4 linked regions of the Tamandua tetradactyla genome follow. The protein of the gene in region 3 interacts with the protein of the main gene of each other region in a pairwise test. Links are inferred from orthologs where the notes say so. Each region holds a gene or a part of one and is shown on either strand. Other genes may lie near its edges. The genes, in order: SHFL, apolipoprotein L6-like, ADAMTSL4 and AMMECR1.

The links.
Region 1: the proteins of ADAMTSL4 (region 3) and SHFL interact in binary tests that used the Homo sapiens proteins (3 or more experiments, as listed by UniProt). The two-hybrid records come from large-scale screens. The link is inferred for Tamandua tetradactyla from reciprocal best matches to the Homo sapiens genes ADAMTSL4 and SHFL.
Region 2: the proteins of ADAMTSL4 (region 3) and apolipoprotein L6-like interact in binary tests that used the Homo sapiens proteins (3 or more experiments, as listed by UniProt). The two-hybrid records come from large-scale screens. The link is inferred for Tamandua tetradactyla from reciprocal best matches to the Homo sapiens genes ADAMTSL4 and APOL6.
Region 4: the proteins of ADAMTSL4 (region 3) and AMMECR1 interact in binary tests that used the Homo sapiens proteins (3 or more experiments, as listed by UniProt). The two-hybrid records come from large-scale screens. The link is inferred for Tamandua tetradactyla from reciprocal best matches to the Homo sapiens genes ADAMTSL4 and AMMECR1.

What each region holds. Positions count from the first base shown.
Region 1 is NC_135337.1:91,635,159-91,642,239, forward strand, and holds the start of SHFL (shiftless antiviral inhibitor of ribosomal frameshifting protein), read right to left. Parts: upstream 3,008-7,081; 5' UTR 2,897-3,007; coding exon 2,876-2,896; intron 2,381-2,875; coding exon 2,257-2,380; intron 2,049-2,256; coding exon 1,999-2,048; intron 737-1,998; coding exon 698-736; intron 463-697; coding exon 313-462; intron 1-312.
Region 2 is NC_135333.1:28,018,944-28,026,248, forward strand, and holds the start of apolipoprotein L6-like, read left to right. Parts: upstream 1-4,284; 5' UTR 4,285-6,076; coding exon 6,077-6,143; intron 6,144-7,157; coding exon 7,158-7,205; intron 7,206-7,305. UniProt on the Homo sapiens protein: May affect the movement of lipids in the cytoplasm or allow the binding of lipids to organelles.
Region 3 is NC_135330.1:5,200,554-5,207,655, forward strand, and holds the start of ADAMTSL4 (ADAMTS-like protein 4), read right to left. Parts: upstream 3,014-7,102; 5' UTR 2,942-3,013; intron 2,457-2,941; exon of another isoform or gene 2,353-2,456; intron 970-2,352; 5' UTR 877-969; coding exon 857-876; intron 652-856; coding exon 582-651; intron 303-581; coding exon 1-302. UniProt on the Homo sapiens protein: Positive regulation of apoptosis. May facilitate FBN1 microfibril biogenesis.
Region 4 is NC_135353.1:60,430,848-60,438,829, reverse strand, and holds the start of AMMECR1 (nuclear protein AMMECR1), read right to left. Parts: upstream 3,020-7,982; 5' UTR 2,995-3,019; coding exon 2,528-2,994; intron 1-2,527.

The sequences.
Region 1 (7,081 bases), on a different chromosome or scaffold from region 3:
TGTGGGGTTGTGGTTTTGGGGTAAAGCTTGATTTGCGGGGGGGGGGGGGGGGGGGGGAGGGGGCGGGGCGCAGCCTCCAACTGTGCAATTCGGGGTTCAGGCTCTGGGGCTTCTCCAATTAAAAGCTCATAAGTCCAGCTCCGGGTTAGTGATTTAGGGCCGAGGTGGACCTTGGAGGTCAGGGGTCAGGGGTCAGGGGTCAGGAGCCAGGCTCTCCGACATGGATGTCCTCGGGTCAGAGGGCCAGGCGCCGAGGATGGGGGCCGGGAGCCAAGTTCGGGAGCGAGTCAAGGTCGCGAGTCCGGGTCTCACCTGCTTGCGCTCGGGCACGCGACGCCACCAGACATGGTCGCAGCTGGAGCAGGCGAACTGGTGGTCCACGGCCGGGATGAGGTCCTCCTGCGCCCGCTGGAACATGCGCAGGTTGGCTACCGTCAGCGGCAGCAGGGACGTCGCCACCTCCTGCGGAATTGGGGGGGGACGGAGGCGGGGGGGTCACCTCTCCTCCCTCTGCAGGGGTCACCCCTCCCCTGACCACTGTCTTCTGCCCTCGTGACCGACTTCACTCCTCCTTCCCCCAGACACCTCCTCACAGCAGAGGCTGCTCCTCCACCCCTCCCCAGGGCCCCCCTCCGCCTCGTCCGCCATGGGTGCCCCCACACATCCCCCCCAAGACCTGCGCCAGGTGCCGACTCACCTTAATGTCCTGGTCCTGCTTCATGTCCTCAGGGGGGTCCTGGGTAGAGAAATGAGGAGCTCCTACAATTGGGGTTCCCGGAGCAGGGGTGGTGGGGGAAGGCGGGGGAGGAGGGCCCCAGCCCAGCATGAAGATGGGGGTGCCCCCGACTCACGACGAGCAACATCCACTTGCACCTCCATTAGTTAGAGGTGTGCACACCTGTTATCCCCATGGCTCAGATGGAGAAACTGAGGCCAAGAACTAGAGACCCCGCGCTCCCACCCTGCCCACCAACACCATCTTCCACTGTGAGTGCCGCCTCCCCAGCCACACCCTGGCTGGCCCGGAGACAGGTCCCCCTCCTTGCAGCAGCCTTGCAAAGCCCGGGATTCCCAGAGCCGCAGGTTCGAATCCCGGCTCCACCACTTCCAGCTGCGGGCCGTGGTTCCTTAAGTTGCATCTCAGAGCTCAGACTCTGCCTCCAGGTGGGCAGGGTTCGAATCCCAGCTGCCACCCACTCGCCCATCTGCCTGGCAACTGACGTCATCACTCTGGACCTCAGTTTCCTTGTTTGTGAAATGGGAACAATAAGTAATAGAACCTAACTCCTGGGCTCCGCTGTGAGGCTGAAATAAATCAACACATGTAAGATTCCTCCAGCCCTGCCACATGGGAAGTGCTAATCCCGGTGCCTGGTTTTTATTACAGGTTTATGACTCTACGCTGTGCCTTTTAGGCTGGTAAAATCCAGTCTACCAACCACCAAAGCCCTGTTTCGAAAAGGCAAAGCAGCTGCGTGCTTCAAAGCCTTTCATCCATCCATCCATCCATTCATTCATTCAAAACACGAGCTCCCCGGCCGCCTCACCTCCCCCATCTCCTGCTCACCCCAGTCTTTCCAGGAATGAATGCCCCTCTCAGTTTCCTTTCTCACACCATCCTTCTTTCCGGACGCGATCCGTCCCCTCCTCTTTGCAGGGCTCACTGCTTGCCATCCTTTAAGACGGGGCATCACCTCCTCCAGGAAGCCTTCCCTGACTTCTCACAACCCCCCACCCCAGGATGGCATTAATTCTGGCTCCTGTCACTGCCTCCCCGTTTTAATCCAATCCGCACATATCGAGCGCCTGCTGTTTGCCAACTCCCTGGCCGGACACAAATACAGAGGTAAATAAGCAAATAAATTTGGACCACGAGTTGTGGACTGGCAGTGCCCAGTTCCTTCTGCTTTGGAGGGGGGGAGCTCTGGGTGGCTGGGCTGGTCCCTCTGCCCTCCCCGCCCCCATTATCCCCGCCTCTGAAGGGAGGGAGCAGATTACCTGGGTCTCCAGGTCACTGCTTAGTTCCTTTCCGTCTTTCTGCTTCACCTCTGGTGGAGACAGCAGGTGTAAGTGAAGGGCCCTTGAAGAGTCTGGGGATGTTTTAGGCCACCCTCCCCCAGACCCCCTGCAGCACAGACCCTCCCCAAGGCTGGGGCCCCCAGCAGGTGATCTCAACGCCTCTTCCCTCCCTCAGTCAGGCCAGGTCCCTCTCGGCGCTTCCTCCACATCACCCAGCCCCCCCCCCAGCCCCCTCACCGTACACGATGGAGCGCCCCACACCGGTGTGGTCGCTGTCGTATTTCCGCATCAGAGCCCCCGCCCTCTCGGAGGAGACCTTCCCATGAAACTTCTCCCGCAGGCGCCGGGAGCTCTTCTCCAGCTTGGAGTGGGGCACGGGGGTGAGGGTGGGGGAGGCTGCGTTGGGGGAGGCGAGGGGCGCTCGCCCCTCCACCAACCCTAGGCAGCGCTCTCCCGCCCTGAACTTGACCCTTGCTTTTGGCCTGGCCGCCCCCCCCCAGCCTCCCCCTCCTTCCACGCACTTCCTGGAAAAATCCAAAGTCCCTACAGGGCACTGGGGGCAGGGGAGGGCGAGGAGCGGCGTCCCGGGTTTAGGAGGGATGCTGGCCAGGGAGTCCCTGGCTCTGAACTCTGACCCCTGACCCTGCAGCCCCCGCTTGACCCCGGGGTGAGGCGCGGCGGTCACTCTCCTTCCTGAGGGGGGAGCGAGGGCCAGCCCGGGGGGGAAGGTCTGGGTTCAGGATGGAGCGGGGGGGGGGGGGGGGTTCCCCGGGAAACTGCGAAGCCCGCCGCGCGCCCCGGCTCCTCCCCCCGGCGACTCTCCGGGTCCCCCGGGGCAGCCGTGGCCGTCTCCTACCTCCACACCTTCCTGGGACATGGCGGCGGCGGCGCGGGGCTCCCCGAGGGTCGGCGCTGCGCGGCTCGGCAGTCCCCCGTTCCTGGCTGCGCTCGGCGGTCCGGATGCCGCGCAGGGCGGGGCGGGGCCTGGGGGCCGGCCCCGCCCTTCTTCCCTGAACCCCTCTTTCGCTTTCGTTTCTCTGGGCTTTGGGGAGGTAGGAGAGGAAATGAGGCACCTGGGCTCTTCCTTGGCTCCGCCCCGGCTCGTGCGCCCCAAACCCGGGCGGGCGCCCTGGACCCGCGCCCTGCGGCGGAGCGCGCGAACCCGGGGCGGGGAGGGGGCCGGTGCGGCCTCTGCAGTCGGTCACATGTGCCCACGCGGCGCGGGCTCCGCGTCTTCACGTCCCTCGTGGGGGCGGGGCCGCATCGCCGGGCCGTGGCGGGGCCCCCGAGCCCCCCCGCCCCCGCTGCGCCCCGTCTCCCCTTCCCCGCCGAGGAACCAGGCCTTGGGATCCCCTTTCCGTTCTGAGCCTCTGAGCTGGCCGGAGCCCTCCTCGCCACCTCAGTTTACCCCTCTGTAAAATGGGGGCGCTGACAGTGGCTACATCCTGGGGGCGGGCAAAGCGGGAGGTCGGGCCTCGAGGGCCTGAGTTAGGGCACTGGGCAGCGCCTCGCAGGTGCCAGGTCCTCAAATGGTCACCCGACTAAGCGCTCGGGGCTCGGAGGAGGGGGTGGGGGGGTGCTTGTTAAAAATTCAAGTGCTCGGTTCTACAGCCCGCTGGTGGGGGAAAGGACTCTGGGGAATCTCCATTGTCACTCTGGAGGTTGGGAAACCTGTGAGCCGGGAGGATTCTAACCCTGCACCTGGAGCCGAAGGAGCCCTAAGGAGAGGCACCGGCCCAGCCCAGCCCAGGGCCCCCCAAAGATAGCTGCTTGGAGGAGGAGGTGCTGGTACAGAGTCCGTGAAGTTTGAGGTCTTCGTTGGGGCTCTGGGCCTCTGTTACAATTGAGAGAAGCAGTTGAGAACCTGGCGCTTTAAGGCAGTTTCTCTGCCAGGACACTAACATTTTGTTCTAGATAGTTCTTGGGGGGGGGGGAGCGGTGATGCCCTGTGCTTTGTAGGATGTTTAGCAGCATCCTTCGTCTCTACTAACTAGATGCCAGAAGCCCCCCCGAACCCCGGTCAACCCAAATGACTACAGAAATCCTCGAGTGTCCCTTGGGTGGGGTGGGTGAATTGCTTTAGGGTAAAAGATGCCAACATTTTTTTTCCTTCAATTTTCTGCACCCCAATCAGTAAAAATGCTGAAACTGAGCCCCATATGAAAGTTTCTTTATTTATAAATTACATGCAAATACAACTCTACCAATAGATTCTGCAGATTGGAAAACAAAAAGCGGTGATTAAAAGATTGGGGTGTTCTAATGTATTCTACGTGAGCCCCGAAGGTTGGTTTGTGGGGTGGTGCACCCCCACTTTGCAGGCTTCTGTAAGTGAAGTGCAAGCAGTTCATGGTCTTTGTGGCTGGAGGGTGGGATTTCAGGTGAAGAGAGGCGCCTGTAGTTGTACTGGGACTTTATCCTGAGGGTAGTGGGAAGTGAGGATGGACCCTGAGACCCATGGACTTCTCCCGTCAGAGTTACCAATTAGTAATCTGTCTCGGTGGAGGGTAAGGTCACAGCCGTGTCCCATCCCCTGAGCAGGGTGGGTACTGGGTGGGCAGGAAACAGGGTCTGATCCAGGCCTGGCTCAAATCAGGTCTGCTAGATTCTAAGAAAGACAGCCGTGACTTTGAGCACCTATTCTGTTCCTAGATGCTGTTCCAGGCATGGTAGATACAGCAGTGAAGAAAACAAAGATCCTGGCCCTTCTGGAGTTGGTGTTCCAGGGCGGGGGACAGGCAAGACACAAATACATAATATGAAGGGGGGTGATAAATCCTAAACTGAAAAAGGAGCTGGAATAAGAGGATGGGGAAATGTAGAAATGGGGGGTGGGGGAGGGTCACAGGAAGTGACATTTGAGGGGAGACCTGAAGGAAGGGAGGGAAGGAGCTATGCGGATATCTGGGAGGAGAAAGTTCTAGATGGGGGAACAGCAAGTGCAAAGGCCCTGAGGTGGGAGCATGGGCCTGTCGTTATCAGTTGTGTTAGTTTTCATTGCTGCGTAACAAATGACCCCCAAGTTTGGTGTCTTAAAACAACAAACATTTATCTGATACAGTTTTTTTTTTTTGAAAAGAATAAGTAAAATCAACTTTACTTGCAGACATAATCTTATATACAGAAACCCTAAAGGAATCCACAAAAAAACTATTAGAGCTGATGAATGAATTCAACAAAGTGAGAGGATATAAGATCAACATACAAAAAGCAATTGTGTTCCTATATGCAGGTAAGGAACAATCTGAAGAGGAAATTAAGAAAACAATTCCATTTATAATAGCATCTAAATAAATAAACTATCTAGAAATAAATTTAACTAAGGATACAAAATATTTGTATACTGAAAACTATAAACTACTACTAAAAAAATTAAGGAATGCTTAAGTAAATGGCAAGACATTCATGTTTGTGGATTGGAAGAGTTAGCCTTGTAAATATGTCAATATTCCTTAATGCCACATACAAATTCAATGCAATCCCTATTAAAATTTCAGCAGCCTTTTTTTCATAAGTGGAAAAACACATCCTCAAATTTATGTGGAACTGCAAGGGGTCTTGAAACCCAAACCATCTTGAAAAAGAACAAAAGACTTGGAGGACTCATACTTCCCAAATTACAAATTGTATTACAAAGCAACAGTAATCAAAATAGCGAGGTATTGGCACAAAGACAGAAAAATAGACAGTCAATTGAAAGTCCTGAAATAGACCCATACATCTATGGCCAATTACTTTTTTTTTAATTAAAAAAATTTTTTTAAACATAATGACATACAAACATGAACATTCTTACCATATGATCATTCCATTCTTGGTATATAATCAATAACTCACAACATCACAGACATCACCATGAGCATTTCTTAAAACATTTGCATCAGATACAGTTTTTGTGTGTCGAAAGTGGTTTAGCTGGACCATTCTGGTTCAGAGTCTCAAAAGTTTGCAGACAAGATGTTGGCTGAGAACTTGGCAGGTGAACCCATAACCCTCCCCCTACATGGGACATGACTCCCAGGGGTGTAAATCTCCCTGGCAATGTGGAACAGAACTCCCGGGATGAGCTGGGACCGGCATCACGGGACTGAGAAAACCTTGACCAAAAGAGGGAAGAGAGAAGTGAGACCAGGTTTCAGTGGCAGAGAGATTTCAAACAGAGGCAAAAGGTCACTCTGGAGGTTATTCTTATGCATTATACAGATATCCTTTTTCAGTGTATGGTGTTTTGGAGTGGCTAGAGGGAAATACCTGAAACTGTTGAACTGTGTTCCAGTGGCCTTGATTTTGAAGAAGATTGAACAACTTTAGGGCTTTTAAGGTCTGTCCGTGTGATTATGAAAACGTTGTGACTGATGCTCCCCTTATCCAGTGTAAGGACAGATGAGTAAGAAAAAAAAAAGACAAAAAATAAATAAGCAATAAGGGGTGGGGAGGAAGGGATATTTTGGGTATTCTTTTTACTTTTATTTTCTTTAAAAAAATGTATGGAGCTCCTACTTGGAACGATGGAAGTGTTTTGGCAATGGTAACCTGACACTGTGAACATAATTAACAGCACTGAAATATATAACTGAATGTGCTTTAAGGGGACATGTTACATTGTATACATATATGGTACTAGGATAAAAGAATTTAAAAATCCATGAAACTGCACTGTACAAACAGCAAGCCCTAAGTTAAACATGAAAATGCCCTTTCACTGGTTGTAACAAATGAACCACACCAATGCAAGGTATCAATAATAGGGTGGTATACGGGGACCCTGCATGCATGATTTCTCTGTAAACCCACAGTTTCTCTAATTAAAATATATAGGGCTGGCCACAGTGGCTCAGTGGCAGAATTCTCACCTGCGATGCTGGAGACCCGGGTTTGATTCTGGTGCCTGCCCATGTAAACAAAAAAAAAAGAAGAAAAAATATGCATGTATATACTGGCTGGGGCTGCATAATCTGGAAATTGGCCTGGGGCTGGAAGGTTTACATTTCAGGTGGCTCCGTCACATGGCCGGCAGGCTGGTGCTGATTGTACTGGCTTCCCCGGAGCAAGTGAGCCAGGA
Region 2 (7,305 bases), on a different chromosome or scaffold from region 3:
AAATCATGGAGGTGAGAAGACAGTGGGATGATATATTTAAATTACTAAAAGAGAAAAACTGCTAACCAAGATTTCTGTATCCAGCAAAATTGTCCTTCAGAAATGAGGGAGAAATTAAAACATTTTCAGACAAAAAATCACTGAGAGAATTTGTGACCAAGAGACCAACTCTACAAGAAATACTAAAGGGAGCACTAGAGACAGATACGAAAAGACAAAAGAGAGAGGTGTGGAGAAGAGTGTAGAAAGGAAGACCGAGTAAAGGTAAAAAGAAGGAAAATTAGATATGACATATAAAATCCAAAAGGCAAAATGGTAGAAGAAAGTACTACCCATACAATAATAACACTAAATGTTAAAGGATTTTGACTTCTGACATTCTGATTAGTAAGTGTCTTAGAGTACGTCTATTTGGATCTATTCTCTTTGGGGTATGCTGCACTTCTTGGATCTGTAATTTTAAGTCTTTCATAAGAGTTGGGAAATTTTCAGTGATAATTTCCTCCATTAGTTTTTCTCCTCCTTTTCCCTTCTTTTCTCCTTCTGGGACACCCATAACATTCATGCGCTTCATATTGTCATTCAATTCCCTGAGTCCCTGCTCATATATTTCCATTTTTTTCCCTATAGTTTCTGTTTCTTGTCAGATTTTAGGTGTTCTGTCCTCCAGTTCACTAGTCCTTTCTTCTGCCTCTCGAAATCTACTGTTGTAGGTTTCCAGTGTTTTTCATTGCTTCTACTGTGCCTTTCATTCCCATAAGTTCTGGGATTTGTTTTTTCAGACTTTCAGTTTCTTCTTTTTGTTCTTTCCTTGCCTTCTTTATATCCTCCCTCAATTCATTGATTTTGTTTTGTTTTGTTTTTTAACATGGGCAGGCACTGGGAATCAAACCCAAGTCCTCGGGCATGGCAGGCAAGCATTCTTGCCTGTTGAGCCACCATGGCCCACCCTGATTTGGTTTTTGATGAGGTTTTCCATCTCTGTTCATATATTCTGAATTAATTGTTTCAGCTCCTGTATTTCATTTGAATTGTTGGTTTGTTCCTTTGACTGGGCCATATCTTCAATTTTCCTGGTGCGATTTGTTATTTTTTGCTGGCATCTAGACATTTAATTATCTTAACTAATTTATTCTGTAGATTACTTTCACCTCTTTTACTTAGGGTTTTCTTGCTGGATGAATTTGTTGTCTATCTGTTCTTTGACCTTCAGTTCAGCTTTTTCTGGACCTCTAGCTTAGGTTTTGTTTAACAGAGGAGAATTTTTCAGTTCTTGTTTTCTTGTTTCTTGCCCTGCTTGTATGGTGCCTTTTCCCCCCAACCCTTAGGAGGCTCTATGTAGGTATTATAGATGCCAGTCATATTTTCTCAGACCAAACTGGCCTCCTATCAGGAGGAAAGAGTCACCTGTGCCAGTTTTCCCTGAGGGTGAGACCCAGCAGGTTGAAAGACTTTCCTGTGAAGTCTCTGGACTCTGTTTTTCTTATTCTGCCCAGTATGTGGCACTTATCTGCCTGCAGGTCCTACCAGCATAAGATGATGTGGTACCTTTAACTTTGGCAGACTCTCCCTGCTGGGGGCATGGTGGAGACAGAGGAGAGGTTGTAGGCCTGTTTTAATGGCTTCAAATTACCAAGCCCTGGTGTCTGAATTCCTTGAGGAAGGGATTCCACCTGAGTTGGGCCTCACCCCTCCCCTGGGGAAAGCACAGGCTCCAGACAAGACCTCAAATGAGTTTGTTTCTGCCTATGCCTGTGGCAGTTGCAGCCTGAGAAGTCCTGCTGCTGTATCCAAAGGCAGTCAAGTCTTTGTAGAAACACAGCCACAAAAGCCTCTATTTCTTTTCTTTTTTTCTTTTTCCATCAGCCCAATGAGTGACCTCCGCTTTGACCAGGTTCACCTGAGCTGGGGGCCTATTTTTAGTAGTCGGAATTTGTTAATTGGTGTTTGGTTGGGCTCAGCCCCTGCTGCTGTTAAAGTCTCTTTCTTTTCCCCTCTGGGAAGTAGCCTGTTGGGGAGGGGCACCGGCCACTGCGGCTTGGGGAACTCATGGTTCTGGGGAGGCTCGCAGCCAGTCCAGCTGGTCCAGACTGGGGTATGCTGTGTGTCCGGTCACTGACATGGCCCCAGGAGCTGTTCTGTCCTGTTTCTGGTTATTTAGTAGTTGTTCTTGAGGACGAACTAAAACGTGCACATTGCTAAGCTGCCATCTTGGCCCCTATCCTCAAACTTTTGGTTTTGAGAGCATTTCCTGTTTCAGTATCACAGATAAAAGATATTAGACCTTGTAACCCTTCACCAGGTTGTTACAAGGATCAGGCTGAATAGCACGTAGGACAATGATTTTGCACCCATCATCACCACCGTAGCTTCATTTGTGGGGTGCCTGTTACATGCTCGCCAAGGGGTTCTTTTTTGCCTGGGCTCTGTGCCACAGGAGCTAGCTATTTTCTTCCCATTTCACAGATGGGGTGCCGCGGTCCAGCCGCAGCAGAGGGAACGGGCTTGAAGGTGTGGAGGGTCGTCGGCGTGAGAAGAACACCAAGAGACAGCTTAGAGAATTTTCCTCTGAGAAGAGTTGCTTAGATTTATTTTTGCTTAACTGATTTTATACCCTTATTCTTGGCAAGGAAACAGGTATCACAGAATCATGGTTGTGTCATGGCTTACGTTTTAGGTAAAGTTACAGGTTCAGGGAAGCAAAGCGAAAGTACACGTTCTGATTTTCTTAGGAACACTTACACAAGATTTTAATAGCAGCAAGATATTGGCTTAAACCACAGACATTGTATTTGTAGTTTTCTGAGTTTAGACTTTCTTTTCCTATTATTCTACAGGTGAGGCAATATGTTAAGACCTATTTTAATCTGGTTAAAGGTTAGCTTGTTTTGATTAAAAGCTTACATTGTTTACTTAGATTTTTTATTGTTTTATAGCAATGGACCGGTGCCGTGGTGGGGAGTAAATTTCCAGGATGGCTCAATGCAGGGTTTTTTAATTGTAAGTGTTTACTTTCTATGGGGTACTTTTCTGTGACTTGTTCTAAAAGCACTTTTGCCTGCTGTATCTGCAGCATGACTTGCTTAATGGGGGCGTCCCAACCTATTTTTTTCCAAACAGTCATTAACAAGGTTTTGCAATTTGTACAATTTGTATCATTTTTTCCAATTCTTTTGCTTTCTGATTCGTTTTGATATAATGCTTGGAGCACAACCAGCAACAAGAAACACACAATTAGTGTCGTTAATCCCAGTATTTTTCTATTACACCATTTTATGCCTCGTCCTCTTTTGGGGCGTTGAAGGCCTTGCCTACCGCCCTTCCTTGAGGGAACCGTGTCAAACCGGGGAGGAAAAAGAGGACGCGGCAATGGGGAGCGCAGGTGGTGGCAGCTGAGAAACCAGCTCTAGCAATGCAGCCTGACCTGACTTCAGAACCCCGGTGTGGCCCTACCTATCCCTGATACTGCCCCCCACATGGCCAGAAAGTGGAGGAGGGCAGATAGGAAATTCAGGCCTCCTGCCTAATGCGGCACCCCCACCGCACCGTGCACCTCTTAGAGGAAGAAACAAGAAGGAAAGTGAAAGTGTGAGCCATTTCTCAGCAAACAGATGCTTTCTGGGAAGAGTTCCAGTGGGGAGTTTCCGCAGCTCTTCAGCGGAGCCCAGTCATTCGTGCAATCAAGCCCTGCCCAGAGCCAGCCTCCAGAGCCTCGGGCTGCTCCCGGATTCCTGATACTGCCTGAGACACGGCACTTCGCAGCTGTTCCACTGTAGCCCGGACACTCCTGGCCTGGCCTGGTCAGAGGCCCTGGAGAAGCGAGGCTAGAAGCTGCTGACTTCCTGTCCTCAGGCCAGTCCTCCAGGGAGAGGTTCGCTGAGGGGAGGTGGGTCAGCAGGAGGGAGGGTGGGAGGCAGGCTGCATCTGCGCTCCCTGAAGGGGTTAGCTACAAAGCCTCTTGGTGCAGGAAAAACAGCTTTTGTCAGGGCAACGGGGGTTCAAATCCCTTGTCCAGGCAGATACTAACTTGGTGGGTTTGAGAGGCTCAGCTTCTTTCCATGCCAAATCAGGACAGGGAATTCTCCTTCATGGGGCTGTTTGAAGTTTAAGTGAAAACATGCTGAAGAGTGTGGAATGACATCTTCTCCTCTCTTGGCTGGGGGCACCGACACCCCTGACTGATGTAGGAGACGGCACTGGCCTTGATGGGCATTGTTTAGGAGTGATATCGTCTCAGAAAAAAAAAAAAGATGCTGGGTGAGTTGTCTTGAAACTGTAAAGCAAACTGGTGAGTTTTGCTAGCTTGTCAGTTTATCTGGAGTAGTTTGAAGTGGGGGAGGGGTGTTGGTGATAAAGTTTAGGGGGATCACCTCAAAGCTCTATTTTTAGAGTAGCAGGCTTTTCTTACTTAGAGTGTAAGTTAAGGGAGTTGGTATTCCCAGGGAGATGCTGCTGGAGAATATGGTAGAGTTAGAGGCTCTCCAAGCAATTAAAGAAAGATTGTTATGGATAGTGTCTAAACTCTCAAATCCTCTCCCATCGTCATCGCACTCACTTGTGCGTGGGTGTAGTTCTATGCGGTGTTATCACGTGTGTAAATTTGTGTGAGCACAACTGCAATCAAGTTCCATAATCTTTGCTCCCTTTTCATAAACACGTGGCCACTTCCCTTGCCTACTGTGGTTTTCGCCTCTTTTTAGTTTCAACTTTTCTCTTTTAGATGTATCTCTTGTAAGAAGTGTAGAGTTGAGTTTTGCTTTCTCACCCAGTTTGAGTCTTTTCTTTTGAACAGAGTATTTTTATCCCATTTCCAATAGGGACAAATGCTTAAACTATCGACCCTTAACATTTTCTGAGGCAGGCATTTTCCCACCCTATTTTACAGACAAGGAAAGGGAGTCTTAAGGCAGTGAATTAATTTTCTTGAACTCACAAAACTGATAAGTGGCGGGACAGGCTTGAATTCAGTTAACCCTGTTCTCTCTATGCTCATTATTAGTCTGTTTGTTTCTCTGGGTGGGGGAGATAACATCTCTTCCTAGCCAGGATATCCTGTCCCTCTGGTTGTGGGAAACAGCAGGGACAAACCCTTTTGAATGTTGAAAGATCTCAAATCTGCGAAAGTATGCTTTCCTCCAGGCCAGCCATTTCATTGGAGGGTAAAACAGATCCGGTGATGCCTTGTTTGTAAGAGAAAGATGGGAAACAAAATGACCCAGAAATACAGAGATACACAAATATGGGTCAGTGGTCCTCAGGCTTTCTTTCACTTGGCTTCCAAAATGTCACCTTCAGTTGGTTCTCCTCAAATGTCACTTCACTTCTCCTTCTCTGTCTCTTGCTGTTTTTTCCTCTTCCTGAACCACACTGTATTAGTCAACGTTCTCTAGAGAAACAGAATCGACAGAAGAAATCTGTAAATATGAGATTGATAAGAATCTTACACAACCATGGGAATGCAAGAGTCCCAAAACCCATGGGCCAGGCTGCAAGACTGGCAACTCCCGTGAAGGGTTTCAATGAGCTCCACAGGAGAGGCTCACTGGCTGAAGAAGCAGTGAAAACTCTCTCTTCTCCCTTATATGTTTTTAGCAGATCAGATCAACTCCAACCAATTGGATTATATCATTTGCGGGAGACATGCCCTTAGTTAATCGTAGATTTAATCAACCACGGATACTTTCAACTGACTGATAATTTGATAAACCAGCCTTTTGGTTTACCAAAGAGCCATGAAATGTCCTTGGAGGAATGGTTAGGCCAGAGCTTGCCTGGCCAGACAATTGGGCACCATCACCTGGCCAAGTTGATGTCAGAACCTAACCATCGCACTCACTTTGCCTCTATGTTACTCTCTCCCTGGGGTTCTCATCCCATCTGTGGGCTTTAATTAGTTTCCACACTGATGCTTCCATGAACTCTAGACTCACATGTCCACTGCTTACTCAGTATCTCATGAATGTTTAACAAGCCCCTCAAACGTAACATGACCTAAACTGAACTCTGTGGCTCCCCATCCAGCCTGCCCCCCAAAACCTCAGCCTTTCCCAGCTTCATCAATGGCTTCTTCATTGTAATGGTTGCTCAGGCTCCAGAGCTTGAAGACATCCTTGATTCTGCTCTCCTATGTCCCTCAGCCACTGGTAAGTCCTGATTGCTTCCCAAAAATCCAGTCACTTTTCACCACCGCTACTGCTGCCAGCCTGGTGCAGGTTATCACCCCTTGCCCCAACTACTGCAATCACTTCCTAAGTGATCTACTTGCTTCCTGTCTTGCAAGCTTATGGTTTATAAAAATAAAATACAAGTTAAAGCAGAGTCACTACTGGCTCTTAGGTGCCTGAATGTGTATTAGAAGATGCCCACTTCCCTTATGCCCCTCAAGTAGATCCGGTAGATGGCACCTTTGTCCAATCAATCAACCAACCAATGTTCTCTTTTCTCCAGATAGACACATGGCCTCTCCTTCCTTGGCCATGGCCCCCCAGGTCTCACTGCTTGTCAAGGGGAGGATTTCAGCCCCACCAGAACCCTCAGCTAGAGTCTGGGGGGTCCCTCTAATGAAATCAGTATGTCCTGGGGAATAGAATGTGTACACAGGTTCTTTATAAGAGGTTGTCTTGTCCTGCAAAAGCAATCTTTGAAAGAATTTTCTAATCCTTGATTCGATTATCTCCATGGAGATTCTGACACACCCAGTTGTGGGTATTATGGGTCTTGATTAGCTTACTGGAAAAGAGGAAGCATTTTAGAGAGAGCCACACAGGAGACCCATGAGAGCCATGAGAACCACAAGAGCCCACACAGCCAGAGACCTTTGGAGATAAAAAAAAAGGAAAAGAACCCTAGGGGAACTTCATGAAACAAAAAGCCTGGAGAAAAAGCTAGTAGACATCGCTGTCTTTGTCATTTGCCTTTCCAGTTGAGAGCCTTCTTGAACCAAGATATCTTTCCCTGGATGCCTTAGATTGGACATTTATATAGCCTTGTTTTCATGTGGACATTTCACAGTCTTGGAACTGTAAGCTAGCAGAACTTATTAAATTCCCCATTTTAACGGCCATTCCATTTCTGATATATCATATTCAAACAGCTAGCAAACCAAAACGGTGGAATTGCCAGGTCAGGTGGTGATTTTATGTTTTAACTTTCTGCAGAACCATCACACTGTTTTCCACTGCAGCTACACCATCCCCACCGACAAGGTATGAGGGTTACTATTTTTCCATTTTTTAAATAACTATCCTAGTAAGTATGAAGTGGAATCCCATTGTAGTTTTAATTTGCATTTCTCTAATGACAAAT
Region 3 (7,102 bases):
CCTCGAAGCGGGCCACCCCTTTCCCGAGGCTCTGGCCTGTACAGGGGGAGGGTTTCTCGGGAAGTCTGGGGCCTGGGGCCCCGGACCCGGGGCAGCAGGGCTTCTGGATGTCTTGGGGGCCGGGGAGGGAGAGGCAGGCCCAGGTGGAGGTGAGCTGGAGGGAGCTGGCATGTCCGGCTTCTGCGCTGCACCCCCACCCCACAGGGCTGCGAGCAAGACGCCCACTGGCCCCAGGGGCCCCAGAGGCCCTCGAAGCCCTGGCCCTCCTCTGAGGGTGTCTGAAGAGAGTGTCCAGACAACACCTGTGTAGAGAAAAAGGTCAGAGAGAATTCAAATGATTTCGAGGGAACCGTAAAGGCTATGTCATCACCCGAGGTCACATCTGTTGGTGGAGGCCGGACTAGAACTTGGTTGCCTTGATGTGCTTGGTGCTGGGAAGGTGACCGGGGAGGCTGGGGGCCCTGCGTGAGTGACACGGGCCCCGGCTTGGTAGGGCCGAGGGAAATGGAGGCACGTCCTGGAGCTGGGGGTGGGAAGCACGGGGAGATGGCAGGGGTGCCAGGCAGGCGGCGGGCCCTCACCTCCCTGCTCACCTCCTGGTCCAGGCAGAGCGGCGGGAGGGTGAGAAGCAGCGTCAGCCACAGCCTGGGCCTGCGGGGCAGAGGCGGGCATGGGGGTGTCAGACGGGGGCCTGGCAAGGCGCCGCCCCCCTCATCCCCCAGCAGGCTCCCTCCATCCTGAGTGTCAGCTTCTCAGAGAGCAGCGTTTCCTCACTTCCCCGGGGCCAGCGGTGATCTCCTGTCCCTACTTCCAGGGGTGGCCCCCCCCACCCCGCCAAGACAACCCCAGCTCCTACCTGCCGGGCCACCTCTCCATGGCTCCTCCCCCGATTGCCCGAAGGCAGGGACACACTACTCAGGCATCTGGGAGCGGTGAAGCCCCGCGGTGACCTCTCCAGGCTCCAGGGAGCTGCAGATGGGGAGGGATGGGCGCTCAGGAGGCCAGATCAGAGGGGAGGCGACGGGGAGGGGGAAGCCCAGCACACCCCTTAAGGCCAGGCCCCCGGGTGGGAGCAGGAAGGAAGGGCCTGTCCCCTGCCTCCCAGCAACCCTGGCCCTTCCCTGGCCAGCCCGCCCGGGCTCACACACAGGTAGCCCCACTCTCAGGACGGTCTTTACCCGGAGCCCCACCCAGAGGACCTGGAAAGTGGAGGGAGGTTCAGGGAGGACACCACAGCTCCCCTCTGAGGGGCTGAAGGAGCAACGTGGGCTTTCCAGAAAAGATCTTTCCTAAGCATCCTTTTTCCTACTGCCCAGCGTTCCCTTCCCTAAGCAACTTATGCTGCCGTCGTCACATCTCTGCCTGCCTCACAGGCTTCCCAGCCCAGGGATAAGATAAGGGGGGCGATGGTTTAATCTCTAGAGAGGAAGCAGATTTAACCATCGTGTTTCCCCTGCACTCTGGGCTCTAGCATCCTGCCCTGGCACAACAAGGGCTTGTTGGAGCCACTATGACCGGCTGGGGACACCCGGGACGGGGAGTGGTGCTCGGGCCACCAGTGCGCCCCCATCACAGGCTGGCATCAGAAGTGCTGGGAAGTCCTCCCCGGAGTCCAGCTGTAGTCACTGGGGAAGGGGGGCCTGGAACTTTCCTCCGGCCTCAAAGCCTGACTCCCCATTCCTCCTTGCCCTCCAGCCCCCTCCTTTTCAATTTGAGTCCTTCCAATCTCCCCGCCTCCGCCCCTCAGCCTGCTTTTAATTCTGCTTTCCAGGAAAAAAAAATTGTGTTTCTGTTGGAGCTGAAAGCACCAGGAGAGGAGTCCAAGGAGCCAGGGCTGCAGTGGGCCAGGCGGGGGTTGGGGGAGAGGGGGCAGGAGTGGCCGGGGGCTACAACCCTCAGCTCACACCCCGGCCCAAGGTCCCAGGACAGGGAGTTCTTGTCAGCTACAGCCATCGGGGCAGGGGACTGAGGTTCTAGGAAGCAGTCACGTTCCACCCACCCCGTCACCCCTCGGCTTGATTCCTACGAACCTTTACTTGGGGTTGGTCACTGCCTGTCCCCTCTTCACTGCCCTGTCCCTGCTTCCCTCTGCCACCCGGGGCCTGTGTCCTGTCATCTCCTTCCCCGGGTCTCCCCAGGACACACTCCATCCGTGCTGGCTTTGGCTCTGGCAGTTCCCTGGAGTGAGGGGTGGGGGCTTGGGGGTGACGTGAGCTCCTGGGGCCCTGGCCAGGCCTGGCTCCCTCTCTGGAAAAGTCCCACCCAGCCTCCCTGCACAGCTGGGCAGGGGCCCATGGTCGCCCTGTGGCAGACAACGCATCTGCACCCCTCACCCCTGCTCGAGTCCCTCACCTGCCCAGGACAGGAGAGGCCAGAAAGGCAGCCGGTGCCAGGCTGGACAGTGGTCTGGACGAACTTGGGTCCTCCTGGCCACACCCCCAAACCGGCCGGCAAAGATCCAGGAGGGGGCCGGGCAGAGGGAACCCCTGCACCCCAAGGGCCCACCTCAGGGGATGAGGTACCCCGGGAGGGGTGTGTATGTGGGGGGGTACAGTAGGCCTCTGAGCGGGCAGCGGGGACCCCTGTCCTGGCCCCTCGGCTCCCTGCCCTCAGCGGACGCCCCGGGTCCCCGACCCGCCTGGACAGGTGGCCTCTGGGGGAAGTCTCCCGTAGCCAGGCCGAGCTGGACCGCGGGCCCCGCCTGCGCCCGCCCAGCGCCCCGACCCCCGACTCCGGAGGGCGGGGTGGGGGGCGCCGGCTCCGAGGGGTCCGGGGTAAGTTTCCAACTTTCCCGCGGGGCTGGCGGCCAGGGGGGCTGCTTCCCTGCCCGCGCGGCGGGGCCGGAGGTCTCCCAGACCAGAGCCCCGCCCCGGGATCCCACGCAGGGCGGAGGCTCCCCGGGGCTGCCAGGGCCGGGGTGGGGGGTCCCGCGGGTCGGTACCTGCTCGGCGCACCCCGGGCTGCCCGTCGCCCCTCGCGCCGCGCTCTGTCCCGCAGCCCCGCTCGGCCGCGGCCGCCCGCGCCCGGCCCCGCCCCCGCCCCGCCCCCTGGGGGACCCCCCCACCCCGCCGGGGCCGCCCACCGCGGGCCCGGGGCCGAGGAGCGGCCTCCCGCGGCCGGAGGGGCGCCGCCTGGGGGTGTCGGCCGCGCCGGCTTGGGGGACCCCGGCGCCCCCCCCGACCCCCGGCCCGCCGGCGCCCGCGTGGGTCCGAGAGCGCATCCCCCTGCGCGGCGGGCGCCGCCGAGCCTCGGCCTGTCCACCCCGGGCCGGCTCGGGGGTCCCCGGTTCCGGCGCTTCCCGGCCCCGCGGCACCCCCGTGGGGATCGACTCGTCCACCCGGGGACAGCGACGGGCGCCATCCGTTCGCGCCTGGGGACCGCCGCCCGGACGCCCGGGGGCGGGCAGTGAGGGGTCGCCTTTTCTACATGCTTACGTTCTAGTTTTTTAACCATAAGCCCTATCTAGATATTAATTATACTAAAAATTAATAATTTATGTAAAATTGTTAATGAACGGTCACTTTTTTGTTGCAGGCTTTACTCATGACGCACGGTCATGTTTTGTTGGGTCTACGCAGTGTTTTAAAGTTGTTGCTGTTGTGGGTTTTATTTTTTTCAGTGACTTGTCAATATTTTAAAACCAGCTTATTTTATAGCGTTTCTTGAAAAATGAAAGCACAAAAATAGAAATTCTAGCAACATTGTCCTGGATCCCCACAAAACAGGGCTCTTGGGGCCCCACCTAACATTTCCTAAGCACCTAATACATTCATGCTTAGGGCAGGGTTGGAAGAGGCGCCCAGGGTGCCAGGAGCCACAGGGAGGTAAGTCCTGGGCACAGCAGAAGAAAATGCCAACTGGAAGGAGATATTGGAAGGGACGCAATAAGATGCTATCAGAATGTAAGAATTGCGTCCTTATTTGAAGTTGAACATGCATGTTTTATATTCTCAATAAAAATAAGTTCTTTCAGGCCAAGGACTATTTACGCTGCTTTGTACTGTCTATTTTTCATGTTTCATTTTTGCACTTGTAGGGAAATGTTTGAATTGGAAGGCTAGAGACCAGGAGAGCAAGTGTTGGGTGCCTAGGCTGGGCCTGCCCCCCTCCCCTCCCGAGCCCCCAGCTCGAGCCCCCGACCTGGCTGCGGTGCTCAGACCCCTGACTTGGTGAGGCTGCAGGATGATGTGCTCAGAGCTTTTTGTTTTTCAAGAGAAGTTATATTCCGGTTTTAAAATATTGTCAAGTCACTGGAAAAAAAAAAGCCTTTAAACCACTGAGTAGACCTTACAAAACACAACTGTGGCCTCCAGCTTGGGCCTTAGCTTAGCCTTCATATTTACTGTTTTCCCAACGGGTTTGGGCAAATAATGGGTTAATGCTCCCCCCCTCCCCCAGGAATCCTGCTTTATCTTCATCTGGATACTGCTGGTGACACACAGTCCTTACAGAGACGTGTATTTATAGTCGTGGGTGAGCGCAGGATGCCCCTTTGCCCAGTCCTCAAAGTACAATACAGACGAGGAGACACCCAGCCTGCAGGCGCAGAAGGAGATATATTAGGCCAGGACCTTTCAGTGCCCCTGTCACACCCCATCAGCGTCCACTTATCTACAAGGAGGCAGCGCGGGGACAGGAAGGTGGGACTGAGACCGTGGGAAGGCAGCCGGGTGGAGGGGGCAGGTCCTCCTTTGACATTTGTAACTGCCGTGAACTGAAGGCCAGAAATAGTTCTTTCCATTAAGAAATGGCTGCAGACCAAAGAGTTCACAAGGCTTACAACAGCTGTCACAGCCCATGATAGGATGGTCTGAAAATATTGTATAAAGATAAGAATTTCCTATGCCTCAGCAACTTCTGAAGTACTGGATTAAATTTATGGACATTTTCTCGAGGATAAAAAGAAGCTTCAGTCCCAGCAGAGCTGACACAGGTACGGACACGTGAAGAACAGAAACACAGATGTCTGGAGCTGCTTGGAGCCCAGCAGACCTCGCCATGACAGGTGAGACAAGCCAGAACCTGCAGAGGCAGATGCTCACCACATGACTGCCCAGCTGACAGAGGGGCTCCTGACCCATGGACCTTCCTTGAATGAAGGTAACCTCTTGTTGGTGCCTTACTTTGGGCGTTTTCATTGCCCTAGAAACTGTAAACTTGTAACTTATTAAATTCCCCTTTTTAAAAGCCAAAGAAGGAGAAGAAGAAGTATCTGAAAAGATGATGCAATTTGGGAATGTAAAGTGGTGCAACCACTATGGAAAGCAATGTGGCAATTCCTCAAAAAGTTAAACCTAGACTTATCGTAAAACCCTGCAACTTCATTCCTAAGTATCTACTCAGAGAGAAAAAAGCACAGTCTCAAAGATATCATTGTAGAGTTCGTAGTAGCATTATTCACAATAGCTAAAAGGTGGAAATAACCCGAAGTGTCCATCATAGATGTCCATCATTCCACAGGAAAGAATGAAGTTCTGAGACATTACAACGTGGCTGGAACTTGAAGACGTCATGTTGAGTGAGCTAAACCAGATGCACAAAAAGGACAAATATTGCATGATTCCACTTATATGAGACATCTAGAAATAGTACATTTGCAGAGACAGAAAGTGGATTTAGAGGTTTTGACAGGAGGGAGAGGTTTGCTATTAACTTTATAGATAAAGATTAATAAAAAGAAAAAAAGATTATGTTATGAGTAGCTGGTCACCCAGAAAGTATCTCTAGGTCTCGGATAGGTAAAGGACAAAGAGAGGGAGGCAGGCTGAGTGTTAGTCTGACTTTGAGCTGAAAAGACTGACTTACTAAGAGCACAGCTAACCCATGCAGCACTTTGTTATATGTGCCATAAAAGCTTTATGCAATTTGGAAATGTAAAAGTTCCTCCTTCGCTCCTCATAGTCATGCTGTGAGGTGGGGACTGTTGTGCTATTTGCAGACTTGGAAACAAAGACACAGAGAAAAATTCAGTAACTTGCCCCAAATCTCCAGAAAGTGGAGATCCTAACTTGGCAGGATTCTAACTTGGGCACTATCTGAATATTTTGGGCAAACAAAACTTTTGAGAAAACTTAGCTGAGTGCACTTAGCAAATCATTTTTTTTTTCCCAGTAGTAGATTGAGGAAGTTGTCATTGTGTTGAATTAAATAACAGTTTAGAAGAAGACCTTCATGTTTCATGTGTGATGATCCTAAGCCGAGATAATGCTGATGCGAATACCAGCGGGTGTGGGCGGGGCCTAGACACTGATGTGACACCGCTGGGTCTTTTGGTGTGTGGGTGTGTGGTCATTGCACCATTTGCAGAAATCCTGGTGTTTGCCTTTCTGCCTCTCGGAATCATGGTTTGCTCAGCTCCTTTGTTCCAGAAGAGCCACTCCATTCCTGATTGCTGCACGCCAGGCTGGTCTCTGGCTGTTCATTCCCAGCGTCCTGTCACATTGTCTCATGCTGTTTTTCATTGTTCCACTGATGTGAGTCTCCTGACCATTTGGCTCTGGCTTGGCCCCTGAGCCCACTCCCCATGGGAGTTACCAGAACAGCTCAGTGTCACCTGTTCTTTATGAGGAACCTGGAGCTGGAAGCCAGCCTGCCTTGTTTACGGTCCCCACTCTATCTTGCACGTAGTAGGCATCTGGTCCATGACAAGATGGACTAGACAAGAAATGGCGAGCTTTGCCTCCACTCTGGCCACATTCCAGCACTTTCTGTCTGTTGTTTTGCCTCGCCCTGGCTGGGCTGGTCGTTAGGTGATAAGGAAACAGGATATGACCCATTTGGTAGGATGAGGGCTGGCATGGAACTCCCTGATCTCCTAGTCACTGCTCTGTAGACTTAAAATTTGGTCAGAAATTCCCAAAGCCAAAATCCTTCTTAATTTGGTTTCCATCTACAGTGCCTCTCTGGTGGGTCCGGGGCTTCTCAGTTGCAGCCTTTGCCTCGGTGCCACTCTGAGCCACATGTCTGTTGATCAGTGTTAGGAAAACAGGAAGTGCTCGGTAAGTGTTTATGGAATTGAATGGATTGATTGGACATGGCTGATCTTGGAAGCCATTAGATTCACAAAAGTGGCAGCACGTTGACAACTGTGTCAGGTGGTTTG
Region 4 (7,982 bases), on a different chromosome or scaffold from region 3:
GCTCATGACATGATACTAATATAATTCCTAGGAAAAAAAACTGTCTATTTATGTCTGATGGCAACCAGGATAAAGCCACACTAAGTACACAATACCACTAATTACTTAAAGCAGGAAGAAAAAATGTGTGGTGGATTACTAAGGCACTGTTGAGTGATTAGGTATTTTACCCAAATAATCAAACACTGCTTTTAAGATTTCCTGAAATTTCCATAATATACTTCAAAATGACTTTAAGATAAAACTTTCTACTGCAATCCTCTTAGGACTTAAGTGAACTTTCATTCTCTCCTTGGTCATGTTCAGAGCATACTTTAAATTAGTTGTTTTGTAGAATACATGACATTCATGGCCTGCTAAGTTATAACAATTATTCTTCCACTACATTTTAACATATCCACAGTGGTCAAAAGTGTGTCTTATTTGTCTGTTTAATTCCAGTTGTAAAAACATAGAAAATAAATCCAGTACCTGGGATATAAGAAGAGAAACCATACCTAAATACATGTGCAAAGTAGCCATTGTTAAATGATATTTTCAAAAGCATTTTCTGTATGACTGTTCAAACTCACTTCTCCTGCTAAAATTTTTGTTATATTCATTCAGTTAACCCAAACATTTTTAAATGTGTGAAAATAGCACCTCCTGAAAGTGTATTTTCATATACTTTGGAGCAATGGAGCCTGAATACCAAAACAGCGTTTGCCAAACTCATGTAACAGCTCAAAAACTAAACAGGAGTGAATTTTTGCAGTCCCATGACTTTGCAGCGCCAACTTAAGTATCATCCCAGAATCCAAGAAAAGTCACATATAAGTGACTCAAGCTAATAAATATTTCATAGATTTTTACATGATAGTCTTTTCAAAATGGATTTTACTTCCTGAGAACCAAAAAAATTAATTGACTAAATAAAGATGTGGACTTGGATTTAAGCTCCTAGAATTAACACTATAACATTTATAAAGATATTTAATTAATTTGAAAAAGTGTCAGCCTGGATGTCCTTTCATACATTCCTTATGAACCAGTGTCCAAAGGCAAACCAGGCCTGAAAGAAAATGCAAGATCACAGAAATGTCATACAAAATTAAATACATTTAATATATTAAAGCCCAAAGAAAACAAACTATACGAATTTACCATTTCCAGGACACTTTTATTACAACTTCCACTTTACACAGTAATTTAATATTTTTAGACTAGGCAGAAGTGTTTATGTTTATGCAGTAGTAGTCCAATTGTCTAATCTCACAAAATGAAAAGAAGCTGTTTTAAAAAACATCAATTCAGGTAGTTATGATCCAGGAGACAAGGGGCACTTGTCTTAGCTTGAAAAAGGGATGATGCTTTAAAGTACAAGTTTCACTGAAATTTTCATCTATTATTTTCCTTGTTGATGCCAAGTAATAAAAGCTATTGCCCTCTTTCTCATCCTGCTCTTCCTTGGTTTTTACAGTCTGTCTAGCATTTAACGCAAAAAGTCAGTTTACACTTAGTTTACACATTTAAAAAAAACACATGACCCACCTCCCACACATCCAGATGGACAGAGATTAGGGTTAACCTGGCTTTTAGGCGTAAGTGTTATTTTAAACAATTTCAACCACACTCTTGAAGGGTAAAACAATTAAAATTAAAAGTACAAACAAAGGAAACCATTAAAAAAAAAAAAACCCTACACATTTAGTTGGGATCGTTTGGATATTTCTCAAATTGTCGAGTATAACACAGATACAGAAGTGAAGTCGACACAAAAGCGAATGCACGCTTTATGTACAAGCTGACAGTGGCTCTGTGGAGACAGTTCTCACTTTGAATGAGCTATTACCCAGAAAGTAGAATGAAAAAAGAAGGAGGAAAAAGGTCTCACTTCTCAACGTGAGCGAGCTGGCAGTGCGTTTCACTAAAAACACATTTTAATGGGTATGTTCGGATATAAATAGGTATAAGGGGGAAATGTATTTTTTAAAAAATCCCCTCCAGGACACAGGGAAACCCGGAGGAAAAGATGGGTAACCTTCGCACAAGCTCCGGAGAGAAGTTGCATCAGTAGCAGAACAGAAGTTGGATAGTTACTATTTTTCACCCTGCAGTGGGATAGATAGTAGCTCTCCAAGTGCAAGATACGCCGGGCGGGAATACCGGCGGGGCTTTCATGTCGGGTAAGGGAAACCAAATGAGGAGAGGTCAACACCTTTAGTAATCCATAGCTACAAAACCCGGGTGGGGGAGTGGCGAAAGAAGGAAGGAAAGGGTCAAAACTCCTCGAAGTTCTCGCAAAGAGAAAGCAAACACCTCTGGGAGCCAGTGAGTCATCCCTTGCCGCAGCACCCCGCTCCAAGAGTGGGGTGCTTCCCTCGTAGGGCAGAAAGCGCGGGGTGTCTTTAGGTCGAGTAGCTCCAGAGACCCGAGCAGCGAGAGGAGCAGGGACCGCCACCGGGGGGGAGGCGGACTCGCACTTTGCCTTAACTCTTAGCCCCATCCCGAGCGCAAGCGAGAGGGCGGCGGAGGACAAGGTACTCACTAGGGCTCGTTGGTGAACCGGGGGGTCCGTGGCTGCTGGTATCCATACAGGTGACAGTAGAGCACATCGAAGCAAAAACAGCACATATCTGCTGACACCACCATCTTCCGGGAGCCGGGCGATGAGGACGAAGCGGCGGGCGATGAGGAGGTCGAGGAAGAGGTGGCGGGAGCCGGGGTAGAAAGTAGGGTCCCCACTCCGCAGCTCGGAGGTGGCGACAGGGAAATGCCCCCGCCGCCGCCGCCCTGGGGGGGAGAGAGGGCACAGCCGCTGCCGCTACCTCCTCCGGTTAGACCTCCCAGTCCGTTGAGCCGCGTGCCGGCGCCTCCTAGTCCCAACTCCCCCGCTCGGCACTGGCTCTCTCCGCTGCAGTGGGAGGAGGAGGAGGCGCCACTACCGCCACCCGAGCCAGAGGGGGGCGAACTGGACAGTTTCTGCTTCTTCACCCCACAGCAACCCGCCGCCATCTTGGAACAGTCTCCCCCACGCAACGCTTCCGACCCATAAGTGAAGCGAGCTGGCAGCGGGGGCGAGCACGCTGAGGCCCCAGCCGCCGGGAACGCGCCGGGGACTCGCGGGGAGCGCGCGCGCCGCTGCCCTGCCCCGTTGCCCGGCTACGCGACTCCCTCGGCGCGCGTCCCCGCCTAAGCGCGCGCCCCACTCTCCTGGCGTTTGAGGTGCCTCCGGCCAAGGCGCGCGTCACGACCGCCCGCGGAGGGACTTCTGTGAGCTGAAGCCCGGAGCCCTGAGCCCCGCAGAGGATGGAAGGCGCGAAACCGAGTAGAAAGGAAAGTGAAGGAAACGACAAGACAAAGTGGAGTTTGGGAGCAAAGGGAAGAGGTGGACACGCCTCAAGAGGAAGGAGCGAAAAGGAAACTAGTGGGGCGGGGGTGTGGGGTGGAGGAAGAAGAAAGTCCAAAGTAAGCATCCAAGTCGAAGAGCTCGGATCGATGATCCGCGTGGGATGTATGAGTTAATGACACTTGAGCCGCGCGCTAAGCGAAACTTGAGCCACCCGGCCTCAAATACGCTGGTTTCTGAACTGTTGGCGTGTGAACAAGCAGGTGCTCGGAGCGCCATACCTGATACCGCCCCTGTAAAGTATGAATGTATAAAGCAATCCAGGAAATGGTCATACTGTAGAATCTTTGATACCAATCTGAGCGCACACCGCCAGTTTCCCGAGCAATACTCTTTCCTGTCCTTACCGACAAATATTCAAGCGCTATTGAATCTCTATATATCTTGTACTTTTCCCCCCAACTTTCCCTGCTAGCCCCGTGAAAGCGTTTGAAAGTGGAAAGTGCTATCCAACACTTCACTGTTTCAAAACTGTTAATTGTGCTTTAGGACTTGGAGTAGTAGGTTTTGGGGGGTTGTTTCTTGGCTTGGGAATATAGCAATTAGAAATATACCTGTTGACTTCAACTAGAGATATGAATGAAGCTGATCTGAATAGGACTAAGGTAAATCAATACAGTATAAAGGATGACATGGTCAGTATTTTAAAACTTCAATTTCTGTGTGAGACCAAAAGGAGGGAAGTGTATTTGGTGCAAAATTTGTATATTCTGTAGCACACTATGTAATTTAACTTGTATGGTCAGCTTATTCCAACACATAATAGCATGGATTCTTGAATAAGGGAGTGAGATCTTGTTGAGTTGTACAGTTAATGTGATGTCCCAATATATTGCAGAGTAATTTGGGCAGAGAATAAAAAAGTATTTGTGAAGTCCCCTTGAAGGACTGGGGGAAAAGGAGGAAATGTTAAACTTCCCGACCTGGAGAATTCCTGATACTCTCACAAGTGTTGTGGACAACCTATTTAATAGACTGAGCCTCAATCTTGGGGCTCACCCCTATAAAACTTACTCATGCAAAGGAGAACCTAAGCCTACTTATAATTGTGTCTAAGAATCAGCCCCAGAGAACCACTTTTATCACTCAGATGTGGCCGCTTTCTCTAAGCCAACTCCACAGGTGAACTCACTGCCCTCCCCCTATGTGGGACATGAGTCCCAGGGGTGTAAATCTCCCTGGCAAGGTGGGACATGACTCCAGGGGATGAGCCTGGCCCTGGCATGGTGGAAGTGAGAAGACTTCTTGACCAAAAGCAGAAAGACAAATGAAACAAAGTTACAGTGGCTGAGAGATTTCAAATAGAGCCCGAGAGGTTTTCCTGGAGGTTATTCTTATGCGTTATATATAGCTATCCCTTTTTAGTTTATGGTGTATTGGAGTGGCTGGAGGGAAGTACCTGAATGTTGAACTGTGTTCCAGTAGCCTTGATTCTTGAAGATGATTGTATAACTATATAATTTTTACAATGTGACCGTATGATTGTGAAAACCTTGTGGCTTATGCTCCCTTTATCTAGTGTATGGACAGATGAGTAAAAAAGTAAGGACAAGGAGTAAAAAATACTTGGGTAGATTACATTACTAGTGGTCAATAAGAGGGAGGGGAATGGGTGTGGAATGTTGAGGCTTTTCTTTTTCTTTCTTTTTTTGGAGTAATGCAAATGTTCTAAAAGTAACTATGGTGATGAATACACAACTATGTGGTGATATTGTGAACCATTGATTGCATATTTTGGGTGGACTGTATGGTACATGAAGATAGATCAATAAAAATGCTTTTTTTTAAAAAAAAAAGAAATATACCGTAGTCGACACAGATCTTACAGGTAAATAAAGTAGACTGTTTACCTAATCACAGGTCAAAAGAATTTATTCAAGTATATAAGTAATTCTTAATGTTCAAATTTTAAACTTCTCAATGACGAATGCGTCAGTGGTTGAGGAAATGGATGATTAAGTCAATGCAATTCTGCTTACTTAAAATGCAGCTAAATAAGTAAATAGTATCAATAATAAAATGTTAAAATTCATAGCAATAGAAAGGATAAGTCATTTGCATTGTGCCTACACCATGCCAAAACTGCTAGACAAAGTTAGGTATCTGCATATTTGAAAATATCAGAAAATGATTGATTTTTGTCACCTTTGATCTAAATGTGTGGCATCTTGCAAACAGCTGGGAACTGACTGTTCATTCCACTCAGGAAAAAAAAAGTCTAATTCGATAGATAGATAGACAGACAGAAATTGAACCCCTGCTCCATACCATGTGCACAACACTGTACTTATGTTGAACTGTAGGGAATACATATGCTTCCCACACTCAAAGAGTTCATGAATTAAATCCAATCTACCGATAAAATAAAATAAATAGCTACTATTTTTTAACACTTTTTAGGTGCCTCATCTTACCCCATAATGTTTCAAAATAATATAGTCTCTCCTTTGATTTTCACAACAACCCTTTGAGATTGCTCTTTTAGAGATGAGGAAATTGAACCTCAGAAGTAACTTGCCCAATTTCATACACTCAGAAAGTGACAGCCATGATTTGAATTCAGGCATATGTGATTCAAAAAAAAAAATGTCATTATGCTATACCACCTCTCCATACCAATATATGATAACAAGGTTAATGATGAACATAAGATAATTATATTTAACTATGGTAGGTAGAATGGAGCTTAATCAAATATAAGAACTTAGTTACGGAAAGATTGAGAGTCACTAAAATATATTACCATGAAAAGAGGAAGAATCTCCTTCCAAAAAGAGTTCAAAAAATAGACAGATCATCTGTCTGTGATGCTTAGATGCAACCTAAAGACCAAAGTGATGGATAAGCTAGTTTGTAATACATGATTGATATTATCCTCTCAAACCTCATCATCACTGTTAGAACTAACCTCATATTTAAGGCAAATAAGAAATCATTGTCAACTATTAGTGGTGTAAAAACAACAGCATTAATTTTTTTCTGTGTTGCAGAGGAAAGAGAAGATTGATTTTTAAAAAGCAAACACAACAATTTGTAGGTGTTTTTGTTTGTTTGGTTTTTTGTGCTATATTCTTAACTCTCAGAGCCTACCATTTAATTCGTTTGAAACTGGGTCAAATATAACATCAGACAATAGGTACTGATTTACTCCCCAAAACACTAAAAAATGATCACTTCCAGAGTAGAAACCTAGAGCCATTTAGTGACATCACCCAACAGTTTAGCATAGGAAGCAAAGTAGGATGCCATGGATGACTGCTTCTGCTAGGGGAATTTAGGAAAGCAGAATGTAATCTCCCGATTTAGAATTTGGCCAGTAGACAAGAGTCTAACGCCCCTACTCTTGTGAAAATAGCAAGAAATCTTTAATAAGCACCAGTAGTCGTGTCCTTAGTTCTGCATTTCATCTAAAGGACAAAGCACTATCATGGCTATTGTACCAGCCTAAAGGACTGATACAATGGGAAACCCAAGAACAAGGACACCCCAGCTGAATTACAGAAATAGCTCTCCCCTTCCCTGCCACGCAAGGATTTTTATTCCAATTCCAGACATCACTAGCACAAAAGAAATAGACAAACCCAAACATGATCATTACAGAAAACATCGTCTTACCGCTAGGGGTTACTATCTGAAGTACTTTGTTGCATTGGCTAAGAAGCGAAGAAACATTCTAGTCTTTTTCTCCGTATTAACTTCTCCTGAGCTTGGCTCATCTGCCATGTTAACCTTGAGCCTCAAGATGCTCTTTAAATTCCCTGGCAGGTAATGATGGTGGTAGTGATGGCAGTAATGCCTCCTTTTAGACTCTGAGGCAATGCCTTTCCTGGTCTTTTTTCCTTGTAAAGTCACCAGCACAGAAGTAAACATATTTCATTCAAACATAAATGAAATCTACAGATCAAATTCTGTGAACATGGGTTGTTGAGCAACTATGGAAAGCGCACAATGGTGGGAAAACTGACCTTACTCAGGAATCTCTAGACTTGAAGTATAAAGATCAAAATGTGATAGAGCAATGTGTTTCTAACCACTGCTGATACTGCAGTGAAGTGATAATACCCTCCAGAGGAAATATTAAGGTGCCTTCTGCTCTTTGTAACTGACTATCAAGCTGGGAGTTTAAGATTCCATGCTTCTTTTAAATTAAAAACAAAAACAAAAAAACCATGGCTTCTTTGTCAACAAAGCACATTCAAATTTTAATCATTTCTACATCTGTCTGCCTCTAAATTGCTGTTAACTAATTCTCTTATCAAATGTTTTGTTATACAACTGTGAAAACTATTCAAACAAAGGTTATGCATATAATATACTATGTGGTGAAAATGGAAATTGAATTAAGCCCAATAGTTACTGATTATTTTATCTCAATTTATTCTTATGTTTGTAGCAGTTTTCTTTTATTCCAAATAATAGAAAAATAATTAGTATTTGATGAGGTAGAGAAAACTTGTTAATGTTGCAAAATTGTTTTCTTAGGTTTCTGGGGGTGTGGGTGAGACAAGAAATGTTCACATAGTTCAATGAAAAAAAACTGTCATTTATGCCGAAACAAGTGTTATTTTTATCCTCTGTCATCAAAACTTCTCAA